Linked DNA regions of Schizosaccharomyces pombe. Changing the gene in region 1 together with any one later gene gives a genetic interaction. Each region holds a gene or a part of one and is shown in the gene's direction. Other genes may lie near its edges.

Evidence for each region.
Region 2: mutations in fim1 (region 1) and acp1 impair growth when combined (synthetic growth defect), as found in Schizosaccharomyces pombe (2 studies listed by BioGRID).
Region 3: of fim1 (region 1) and adf1, changing one enhances a phenotype caused by changing the other (phenotypic enhancement), as found in Schizosaccharomyces pombe (one study listed by BioGRID).

The regions. Positions count from the first base shown.
Region 1 is NC_003423.3:3,105,733-3,110,521, reverse strand, and holds fim1 (fimbrin), read left to right. Parts: upstream 1-1,713; 5' UTR 1,714-1,780; coding exon 1,781-2,014; intron 2,015-2,090; coding exon 2,091-3,579; intron 3,580-3,633; coding exon 3,634-3,755; 3' UTR 3,756-4,280; downstream 4,281-4,789. Other genes in the region: SPOM_SPBC1778.07 (carnosine N-methyltransferase), read right to left, coding at 60-561. UniProt on the Schizosaccharomyces pombe protein: Binds to actin, and functionally associates with actin structures involved in the development and maintenance of cell polarity. Plays a role in cytokinesis. Plays important roles in mating and in spore formation.
Region 2 is NC_003424.3:4,583,578-4,587,072, forward strand, and holds acp1 (F-actin-capping protein alpha subunit), read left to right. Parts: upstream 1-1,637; 5' UTR 1,638-1,677; coding exon 1,678-1,747; intron 1,748-1,793; coding exon 1,794-1,987; intron 1,988-2,051; coding exon 2,052-2,558; 3' UTR 2,559-2,959; downstream 2,960-3,495. Other genes in the region: peptidase Icp55, read left to right, coding at 42-119, 163-384, 434-541, 586-756; succinate dehydrogenase subunit Emi5, read right to left, coding at 973-1,099, 1,156-1,448; til1 (tRNA(Ile)-lysidine synthetase family protein), read right to left, coding at 3,007-3,495. UniProt on the Schizosaccharomyces pombe protein: F-actin-capping proteins bind in a Ca(2+)-independent manner to the fast growing ends of actin filaments (barbed end) thereby blocking the exchange of subunits at these ends.
Region 3 is NC_003424.3:4,824,601-4,827,763, reverse strand, and holds adf1 (cofilin), read left to right. Parts: upstream 1-1,637; 5' UTR 1,638-1,686; coding exon 1,687-1,689; intron 1,690-1,740; coding exon 1,741-1,846; intron 1,847-2,009; coding exon 2,010-2,314; 3' UTR 2,315-2,507; downstream 2,508-3,163. Other genes in the region: C-24(28) sterol reductase Erg4, read left to right, coding at 1-1,081; fmp40 (adenylyltransferase), read left to right, coding at 3,115-3,163. UniProt on the Schizosaccharomyces pombe protein: Controls reversibly actin polymerization and depolymerization in a pH-sensitive manner. It has the ability to bind G- and F-actin in a 1:1 ratio of cofilin to actin. Binding to F-actin is regulated by tropomyosin.

The DNA.
Region 1 (4,789 bases):
TGTAATCAGATAAATAATAAATCATGCTATTTTTGATTGATAGTATCAAGTGTACCTACCTTCCACAGCTATATCAAAGGCCAATCTTCCTAAGCCGGAACCTGGAACAAGTACACGAATTTTAGATCTGTCTATAGAATCAGATGGGAAAAGTGAATTTAGTTCCTCGATGAAAGGAGCATATGTAGTACGGCGTTCCTCAACACATTCGGTCGACCAATCTCTCGCAATTTGCTTGAGAGTGCTTGAAACTTTTTGCATCATATCAACATTGACATGAAATAACTCATTTTGATCGAAATCACTGCAGAACACAGGAATGGCTGCGTTAGCGATTGCTTCAGCAAGCACGCTGTTCTGCTCGATACATTGATCAATCCTTGAAAGATGCTTTAAAAAATTGTTGTCAGAGTCCTGTAAGAGTAAGTCCTTGTGTTCAAAAGACAACCTGCTCATCGATTTTCTCTTCTGTTGTGTTATTGTATGAGCATATTGCCTGTACAAAAAGAACGCGCTTAAAACTTCTTTCAAAACTTTTACTTCTTCCTCATCATATTCCATAGTTTTTTTTGATGTTTCTGAGCTCTATCTAGACTTTAATATTTTTATCATCTAAGTCGCAATTTTGGCGTTGTGGAGAAGTTAAACCTCTAACTTGTTGCTTCATTGAAGTTGGAAGTGTTGAAGAAACCAATAAGTTAAGAATATTATGGTTAATATAATTATGTTTTATGTATTTCATTAGCTTTTCAAGTTATGTTTATATCTACTGTGTTTGATTGCAATATTGAATCATCTCTGCTGAAAATCCCTGCAACGCGGTGCCTCTATGAAAATAGTGTTTGCCTTTTGCAAAAATCCCATAGGTTTTATTTGGATAGTTGTCAGACAATATTTTACAACAGCAGCCGCAAAGGAAATTCACCATGCTTCAACAATACCGGAACAGCTAATCTTCTGAAGCATCGTTATAGTAGTATTGTGAGTTTTGTAGATTATAAGAAAATAATATAAGAGAATCTTGGTGCACGCAGTAATATCATACAATATTTATATTGCAGCTTATAAACGAGACTGGAAATACACGTGAAAAGGTAGTCAGGTTAAAAGTTTAACCCTGTGACATCTGGCTAATCTTTTATCCTATTGCGCAGTTAAAAGCGGGAATTACTTCTTTTTCTTATATTGTATCAAAAATTGTTGGCTTCAGTGACCTAAACCCTTGAACAAAAGAAAAAAAACACGAATTTTCACGGCCGGAAAAACTTTCTGCAACGTTTTACAAAGGATCTACTATCATAGTAAGTAGAAATTTTGGCTTCTTGACATATAGTACTAAGTAATTTTCAAGTCGATGCATCAGTTGACTTCAATTGAAAGAGCTTGCTAGTTTGTGATGTTTATGGCATTTGAATTCGGTAATATCGCTAATTTGATATGGACTTACGTTTAGCTTTTTATTCTGTAAAAAAAATTAAAATTCAATGTAGTTGATATCCCAGCTATATATTCAATCTAAAGCTACAACGCAAGACATCGTCAAGTAGTAAATTACTTTTTACAATTGCAAATTAACTTTTAACAGATTGGCTAAGCAAACGTGTATTAACTCATTTAGCGAGCGGATCAAAGTTTTGCTCTACGCTTCTGTAAGTATGATGTATGTGCATCAACAACACGACGTTAATCCTTGTCACGTAGCAACTGCAAGCCACCCAAAGCACACATCGTGTGGTTTCGTTTACTATACATTTTTTGGTCAAATTTTACTTTTAAAGAAATGTTAGCTCTTAAACTTCAAAAGAAGTATCCGGAGCTCACTAATGAGGAAATTCTAACCTTAACCGACCAATTTAACAAACTTGATGTGGATGGAAAGGGATATTTAGATCAACCTACCACTATTAAAGCCTTTGAAGATTCAAAGAAGGGTTCTTACGATGAGGTCCGTGAAGCAATTCGTGAAGTTAACGTTGATTCGTCTGGACGTGTTGAACCCGAAGACTTTGTAGGAGTAAGTAATGTTTTCCGTAATTTTCACGATATGTGTCTCTATATCGCTTCATCAATTGGATTACTAATGCATATAGATTTTCAATGTTTTAAAAAAAGGTGTAGAAGGTACTGAAGTAAAAAAGGGTCGGATTACTATCAAAGGATCTTCCTCAAGTGTTTCTCATACCATTAATGAGGAAGAGCGAAGAGAATTTATCAAGCATATTAATTCCGTCTTAGCTGGAGACCCTGATGTTGGTTCCCGAGTCCCCATCAACACTGAAACCTTTGAGTTTTTCGATCAATGCAAAGATGGTTTAATCCTCTCAAAGTTAATTAATGACAGCGTTCCCGACACCATTGATGAGCGTGTACTCAATAAACAGAGAAATAACAAGCCTCTTGATAATTTCAAATGTATTGAAAATAACAATGTTGTTATTAACTCCGCAAAAGCTATGGGTGGTATCTCCATTACCAACATTGGTGCCGGCGATATTTTAGAAGGTCGTGAACATTTGATTCTTGGTCTTGTTTGGCAAATCATTCGCCGCGGTCTCCTTGGAAAGATTGATATTACTTTACATCCCGAGCTTTACCGCCTTCTCGAAGAGGATGAAACCCTTGACCAATTTCTCCGTCTCCCTCCTGAGAAAATTCTTCTCCGCTGGTTCAATTATCACTTAAAGGCTGCCAATTGGCCGCGTACTGTCTCTAACTTCTCAAAAGATGTTTCAGATGGCGAGAATTATACTGTGCTGCTCAACCAATTAGCTCCCGAACTCTGTTCACGTGCTCCTCTTCAAACTACAGATGTTTTGCAGCGTGCTGAACAGGTTTTACAGAATGCTGAAAAATTGGATTGCCGCAAATATCTTACACCTACCGCTATGGTTGCAGGGAACCCTAAGCTTAACCTTGCCTTTGTTGCTCATCTCTTTAATACTCATCCAGGTTTGGAGCCTTTAAATGAAGAGGAAAAGCCGGAGATTGAACCATTTGATGCAGAAGGTGAGCGTGAGGCACGTGTTTTTACCTTGTGGTTGAACTCTCTTGATGTTACTCCATCCATTCATGACTTCTTCAATAATTTACGAGATGGCTTGATTTTGTTGCAAGCTTACGATAAAATCACACCTAATACCGTTAACTGGAAAAAGGTGAACAAGGCACCTGCATCTGGAGATGAAATGATGCGTTTCAAAGCTGTTGAAAACTGTAATTATGCAGTGGACCTTGGAAAAAATCAAGGTTTTTCTTTGGTAGGAATACAAGGTGCTGATATTACTGACGGTTCTCGTACACTCACCTTAGCATTGGTTTGGCAAATGATGCGTATGAACATTACCAAAACTCTACATAGTCTTAGCCGTGGAGGTAAAACTCTTTCAGATAGTGACATGGTTGCGTGGGCCAATTCTATGGCTGCTAAAGGTGGTAAAGGTTCTCAAATTCGTTCATTCCGTGATCCTTCTATTTCCACTGGTGTGTTCGTCTTAGACGTACTTCATGGAATTAAGAGCGAATATGTTGATTACAATCTTGTTACCGATGGTTCTACTGAAGAACTTGCTATTCAAAATGGTATGTATATATATTTGATATATTTTTAATTTTCATTACTAACACATCGTTTAGCTCGTCTTGCTATTTCTATCGCCAGAAAGTTGGGTGCCGTAATCTTTATTTTGCCAGAAGATATTGTGGCCGTTCGTCCTCGGTTGGTCCTTCATTTTATTGGCAGTTTAATGGCCGTATAATTTGTTTCGACTTAACTATAGCTTTTAACGAAACGATTTAACACATGTGTTTTTCCCAATTTAATTACTTATATTGCGAACAACTTCGGAAGTGAGTACGTCGCTTTTGACTCGCTATGTTATTAGTGGTATGTCATATTATAGATAACTTTGTGTTGTTTTATGATACATCTTAACCCGTTTTTGTCCCTTTAGTATTGGGTAATCCTTATCCTAATTAATGTTTGAGGAATTCTGAAGCTGCACGACGAAACGTAGTCATTTTTTCTCAAACTGTAGAAAATAGTTAGCTTTTTAATTTCATAATGAAGGGAAGATCATTTGTATATGTAACTAATGGTAAGTCTCTGTAGGCCCAAATAGTACGGACTGCATATGCAAATCAGCTTTCTAAATAAAGCATTCGTTGGGAGAACGTTGGTCTACCAAGCCCTAATTTTCAAACACAATAAAAAGAAATAAAAATGTATATATGTCGATTAACATTTTTTACTTTAATAAAATATTCGGAATCTTATAACAATATTATTTATTATCAGATTACTTAACATAATACACATTACGTCCACCGTATATTGTCCAACTATGTCAGCAATACTACACTACGCTATGCTACACTACGTTGCGTATCACTATATGTCATATGTTGGAATACTAGCTAAGATCCGTTTATTGATAATCACGGGTAACTATCCTTCTATATACATAGATACCCGTTGATAACAACTATTTAGAAATATTATAAATAGCGTTACAACTGAACCTCGTTCCTCAGTTCAGTTATGAGCTATATTAGTGATAGGTAACATTATAACCCAGTTAATACAATACCTATACTCAGTTGCTACTTATACAACCTGTGTATTGTAATATAATAGACCACAAGGAAAACTCACCGCAGTTCTACGTATCCTTAAATCAGATACCAAACTGCGTAGCTTACAAACTACTTATAACCACCATTCAAAACAGGTTAAATCGTTATTGCCGATTGGACTTTAAAATACATATTGCTACCTTTACTGCTATCTAAG
Region 2 (3,495 bases), on another chromosome or scaffold:
AATGCTGAATGCTATTACTTTAAGCTTTATTAACAAAGAAGAATGGCTTGACTATCCATTACACAATTAATAATGATATATTCCGTCCTGACGAAATGGTTTTGGTAGACGCTGGCGGTGTAAGTGCCTTCAATTTTTTGTCAATTAACACTTGCTTAACAGGAATTCGGTGGTTATGTAACAGATATCTCGAGGACTTGGCCCATCAACGGCAAATTTAGTACTGTACAAAGGGATTTATATCAAGCAGTTCTGAATGTGCAAAAGAAATGTATTAAGTATTGTTGCACCAGTAATGGCTGGAGCTTGGCTGATATTCACTTTGAAAGTGTTAAATTAATGCATGAAGAATTGAAGCAGGTCGGCATTCATGGAACTAAACGGGTAAGTTTGCTACTTCGCAAAATATTCGTACTAACTTCCTTGGCTATAGGAGATTACAGATATATTGTATCCGCATTCAATTGGGCATGAGATTGGACTAGAGATTCACGATTGTTCTACGAATAATGGTTACCAACCGTTGCGCAAAAACCAAGTTGTAAGTTGAAGTTCTTTTCAGATTATTTGCTAAACGGGGTTTAGATTACCATAGAACCCGGACTATATGTTCCAGAAGAAGACGGATGGCCTCAATGGGCTCAAGGAATAGCTATTCGAATTGAAGATAGCGTAATCGTTGGTGATGACAAGCCGTTCGTATTAACTAGTGCTGCTCCAAAAGAAATTGAAGAAATTGAAGCTTTGAAAAAGTAGAGATTGTGTTACCTATTGACTAAGAATTAGGACTACATCTGACTATCGTAGAATAAAAGACATTATTTTTGGACTAAGTTTCTTAGAAGTAAGATTGAAGGGAAAAAAATCTATATATACTGTTAAATTTTAATCATTACACGAATTTTTTTTTAATATTTTATTGAAAAGTCAACGTCAAAAATAAACATTAGTTTAGAGAAACAAGAAACGTTTTCAAAATAGTTCTGGCATTCGAAGTGTATGATTCCTCTGACTTCGACAGTATTTGCTCAATTCCTTGAAGACTTGACTCGATTTCCACTTTTCAGGTGCTTCCCTTTCTCCTGAACACCAGTATAGACTAAAAATTGGACGTTAAAATAGCGCACATTAAGTATATCAAGTTCATTTACTTACATATCCCAATCGGGCTCATCTAATAATTGATCATACTCTCGCAGAAGAGATACTGGATATTTATCAATCTGATCTTTGGCGAAATTAGATAAAAGCAAATCCGTTTCCAATATTCCCCGTTTTCTAGATTGATATTTAAGTCTTGCCAACATTGCGTCTCTAGTCTCGTAAGAGCGATTCACCCTTTTTAAATCACCTTTGGTATGCTCGAAGCGAAGTTGAGGCATTCTATTCATACATCTTGCACTTCTTAGAAGCGTCGTGATATTAGATAAGTTTGTCTTCCTTAACATTGTTGATATTTTCAAATGAACAACTAAGCGATTAACCAGACGACCTCCGAGGCTATATTTACTTATATATGAATAAAAAGAAAAAAAAATTAGGTTATAGCTCCTTTTTTTGGAAGATTTGGTAGACTATACAACTCTTTGGTGATAGTTTTGCGGCATTGTCTTCACCATCCGTATTCGTTTCTTACCATTCACCATTGTCCGCACCACATTATAGAAATTTCGAAAGATGGAAAAGGAGGCAATTTACAAACTCATTAGAGAATCTCCTCCAGGAGAAGTTAATCAAGTAGTTCATGGTTTGTTAAAGTGCTGAATACCTCAACATTCTAATGCATATAATAGATATACGCGACATCGGTCTAAGTGATGAGGAAGCAATTCACGAACAACTGAAGCTTTATCATGAAGACTACAACTCTTCTGTCAGCATATCGGATGACGAAAAAGTAATTATTTCAGCTGATAATCGTCTAGAGGGCAATCGCTATTATGATCAAGTTTTACAGAAATCATTTACCATTAATTATGAAACTATGGTAAGGTTAAATTTTTCAAATCTTTTTTTTGTGATAATTGTTAAATAGCTAACAGTATTCATAGGAAGCTGAAAACGTTGAAGATTATACCGAAGCCATAAAAATTCCCGATGAAATAGTAAAGCAAATTAAAAAGGTTGCTTCGGATCACTATCTATCTGATGTAACATTTGGAATCATCAAAAAAAGCGATGAAGTGGAATCGTTTACAATTGTTTTGGTTTCTTCAAAGTATAATCCCAAGAACTATTGGAACGGTTCGTGGCGCTGTATATGCAATTACAACGTTTCGGAAAAGAAACTGGAAGGCAGGTCGCATATTCGTGTTCATTACTATGAAGACGGAAATGTTTGGTTGGATGCATCCCGTCCTATTTCTGCTACAGTCGAGGAGACCAGTAAGCTTTATGAAGTGTTGGCTCAAGTCGAAAATGGAATTCAACAGTCCTTCAACGTTGAACTTTCTTCACTTAATGACAAAAAGTTTAAAGAATTGCGTCGTCAACTTCCAGTCACTCGCCAGAAAATTAATTGGGAAAACGTTAGTGGCATCCGTATGAGAAATACTTGAAACACTTATATGTGTTTATAAATTTTGGAAATTTTTTTGCGACGATATTTTTTAAGACGGTGATTCAAGCTGTTTCCTTTTCCTTCTTCCTAAATACATATACATTGTCGCTCGATATACGACTAATAATTACTAGTCGTTTACTTTCTAAAACTTTACAAGAGCAACTCACACGCTCTTTTCTTAAACTCTTATAAGTTTTAGGAAATTATTTTTTTACGATCAATAATACAAGTTCTTCATCATTTTTTTACCGCTCGTCACCAGTAATTTAAGGGCGTATTACTTTTTGTGTGTAAGCATCAGTCGTGCTATTTATCACCAGAATATGCTCTGAGCATCTGACTTTCACCTCTGACTTTGTGATAATATAAATAAATAATGAGGCATTATTAAATCACAAATCTTGTATCTCTAATTAACATTGATTTCATGGTTCAAGCAGCAATTAAAGCTTGAACTTGTGTAGACAGTTTGAGATAATATCACTTCTAAAATTAAACCCAAAAGTAGGTATTCCAACTAACTTATCGTTTTCTTCCGACAAGACTGGAATAGTAAACCTGATATGGCCCGGAACTTGTATACAAAATTTAAGAAACTCTTCCTTACTCAAAAATCCCTTCAATGAATTTAGATCTTTGGAAAGCAACGGTCTAAGTATAAGTGTAGTCTGTGTATTTTTGCAACTGTACTTTATCCAAAACCTGTGATCCCATAAAACATAACGATCAGGATTTATGGTTATAGTTTTTTTTTTCAATTCAGCTTTACTAAATGGTTGTCTGGAAATTTGGAGTTGTAATTTAGTGTCGTCCTTTATAGAAGAGGAAGTGAGTAGACATTTAGCAATTGTTAGCTTTTTTCCATCAAAAACTGAATTACAAAGGCTTACAACAGAAGATCGTTTAATCTGTCTGCAACTTGTAGTCAATGT
Region 3 (3,163 bases), on another chromosome or scaffold:
TCCTGGTGTTCGGACGCAAGGTTTGCCTTTAAAGCATCGCAATAACGAACGTCTTCCTTACTTATGCAATGCTATCTGGTCTTTTTACACGACAATTGTTATTCTTGCCGTTCTTCACGTGACCCACGTATTTCCAATTACTACATTTATCGACATGTTCGGTCCTTTGATGAGCGTTGCAATAATAACCGCTTTTGTCTGTACCTTTGTTTTGTACACTGGAACTTTGCTTTTTGGTGATCGACTTTTTGATAAACCTCATCGGTTATCTGGAAATCCCATCTACGATGCCTTTATGGGAGCTTGCTTGAATCCTCGCCTTGGCAAATTGCTTGATTTTAAAATGTTCTTTGAAGTTCGTATCCCTTGGTTTATCCTATTCTTTATTTCCGTTGGTGCTGCTGTTCGTCAATATGAAACTTATGGCACTGTAAGTCCTCAGGTACTTTTCGTTTGTCTTGGCCATTATTTGTATGCAAACGCGTGCTCGAAGGGAGAGCAGTTGATTGTTCCAACTTGGGACATGGCTTATGAAAAGTTTGGTTTTATGCTTATCTTTTGGAACATGGCTGGGGTCCCATTTACTTATTCACACTGCACCCTTTACCTTTTTTCGCATGATCCATCTGTTTACAACTGGTCAACTCAATATACAACCGGTATTTATGTTTTGCTTCTTTGCTGTTATTATATATTTGATACTTGCAATGGTCAAAAAAATCATTTCCGTAATCAAATTTATGGTACTGAGGTTCATCGCAAAACATTTCCCCAACTTCCCTGGCTTATCATCAAGAACCCTACCTTTATTCGTTGTGCAAATGGCGGTACTTTGTTGACTTCAGGTTGGTATAGGTACGCTCGTAAAATTCATTATACTGCTGATTTCTTTCAATCATTGTCATGGGCATTGATCACCGGTTTTCAGTCCCCTCTACCTTACTTTTACCCATGCTTTTTCTTTGTAGTCCTTGTGCATCGTGTTTCACGTGATATTAAAAAGTGCAAAGCTAAGTATGGGGCTGATTTCGATGAGTATTGCCGTATATGCCCTTACTTATTTATTCCCTATATATTTTAGAAATGTCTTTTTAGTCCCTTCTTTACTTAATAAATTGGCTATTCAAAATTCCACTTGAAGTGTTTTTCTACTTTAAAATTCAGTTAATTTTTGTGAAAGTTCTCAAATTTGATTGAGTAGCTGGAACATTCCTTAAGTTATGAACGAACAAAGTAAGCAGCTCTGACCGTTTTTTATACAATCTATTTCTAGACTTAAAAATTATTAACTTCCAAGTCTTTTTGCATAAAGATTTTTGGAAATAGCGTAAGGAATAGCTAATAAATAGTAACAATCATCTTGTTTCTTCATAGCGATCCATTTACAGTTAAATTTTTTTTTGCATTAGTTCACTCACTTGCTAGATATATAAATTAGTGTGGAATATTTAGGCGGTAGTGCATACGCATAACCATTTGCTATTATTTTTTTGTAGAACTGTATGTTTTTTCGCTTATATTTAATAAGGGTCATGCAACATAATAATAAGAAATTATAGACTCTGCTTGTTTAGAGTAGTGCGCCACCCTTACTTGGGGCGACGGTATCTACTGATGCGAGTAGCCCTCCCCTAACCAAACCAGTGCCAACCACACTAGCTTACCCGCTATCAGTAAATAAATAATATGGTATGAAATATTTTTGTTAACTTTACATCGTGTTTATTTAACATACATTAGTCTTTTTCAGGTGTCAAAGTCTCTCCCGAATGCTTGGAAGCTTTCCAAGAGCTCAAGCTTGGAAAGTCACTCCGTTACGTAGTTTTCAAAATGAACGATACCAAGAGTAAGTGACGAAAACGATTTAGATGGAATTTGAGAAAGTCCAATATCCCTTTTTTTAAAAATAAATTTATTTATCTACATTGATATATATTTTATGTTTGTAATGTCTTTCTATGTCGTTTTTATAATTATGTGGAACCTTTCACTAATTTTTTTTTGTTTAGCTGAAATTGTTGTTGAAAAGAAGAGTACGGATAAGGACTTCGATACTTTCCTTGGTGACTTGCCTGAAAAGGATTGCCGTTATGCTATCTATGATTTTGAGTTCAATCTCGGAGAAGGTGTTCGTAACAAGATTATCTTTATTAGCTGGTCTCCTGATGTTGCTCCCATTAAATCTAAGATGGTTTACTCTTCTTCTAAAGATACTTTACGTCGCGCTTTTACTGGAATCGGTACTGACATCCAAGCAACTGATTTCTCCGAAGTTGCTTATGAGACAGTTCTTGAGAAGGTTACTCGTAAGTAAAACACTTTTGGTTACGATTTCTTGACTCATGCGTAATACGAAATGAAATTAAATAACTTCGTTTCGGTATGCAAACCGATCCTTCAACGCTCCTTAAATATCTTTTTCTATATATTTAGAACTATAAATACAAAGATTTAAGTGTACGTTGGTTTCCTGTTGATATTTAATTTGTCAATAGTATATCTACTTTAAAAAATTTGTCATGTGATAACGGATGAGTCGGTATATGAAAAACACTGCAAGTTATTTGCCAATGTAATTGACAAGCAATCATAGAGAAATTAGTTCTACGCAGTTTCCACCACTAGCTGAAATGTTTGAGTGCCTGGGTGCTTGCAGGTTTTTATTCATCTACTTCAAGTATGGTATAGTAAGTAAGCTTAGTTTTATTTTCTCAGTTCCGACTTTTTAATTCTGTAGATTTCATCTACCACTATTTAGTCATTGAAATTGTTACAAATATTCCTCTATATATAATGATTCTGCATTCCTAAAAATGCTAATTAACAAATTACGAAATCCAACGATCTACAAAGTAATGCCATTCCATATTAATATAACAATTGCTGTTCATTCGCTATCATTTTAAAATGATGTTTTCATTAGTTTGCTCATTGATCACATAGCATGTATTTTACCAGCTATTTTCAACGTACTAGTCTACTTGATCTGTTATTGATCAAATGTAAGTGAATTGCTGCTTTTATTGTTATTATAATCAATAAAGTAAGCAAATTTACACTGGGGCACAATCAAACATTGGTATGCAAAGAACATTAATTCGATATACCAATACGATGTCAAAAAAATTGAAGGATCTCCCTGTCAGCTCAACGTTCACATCAA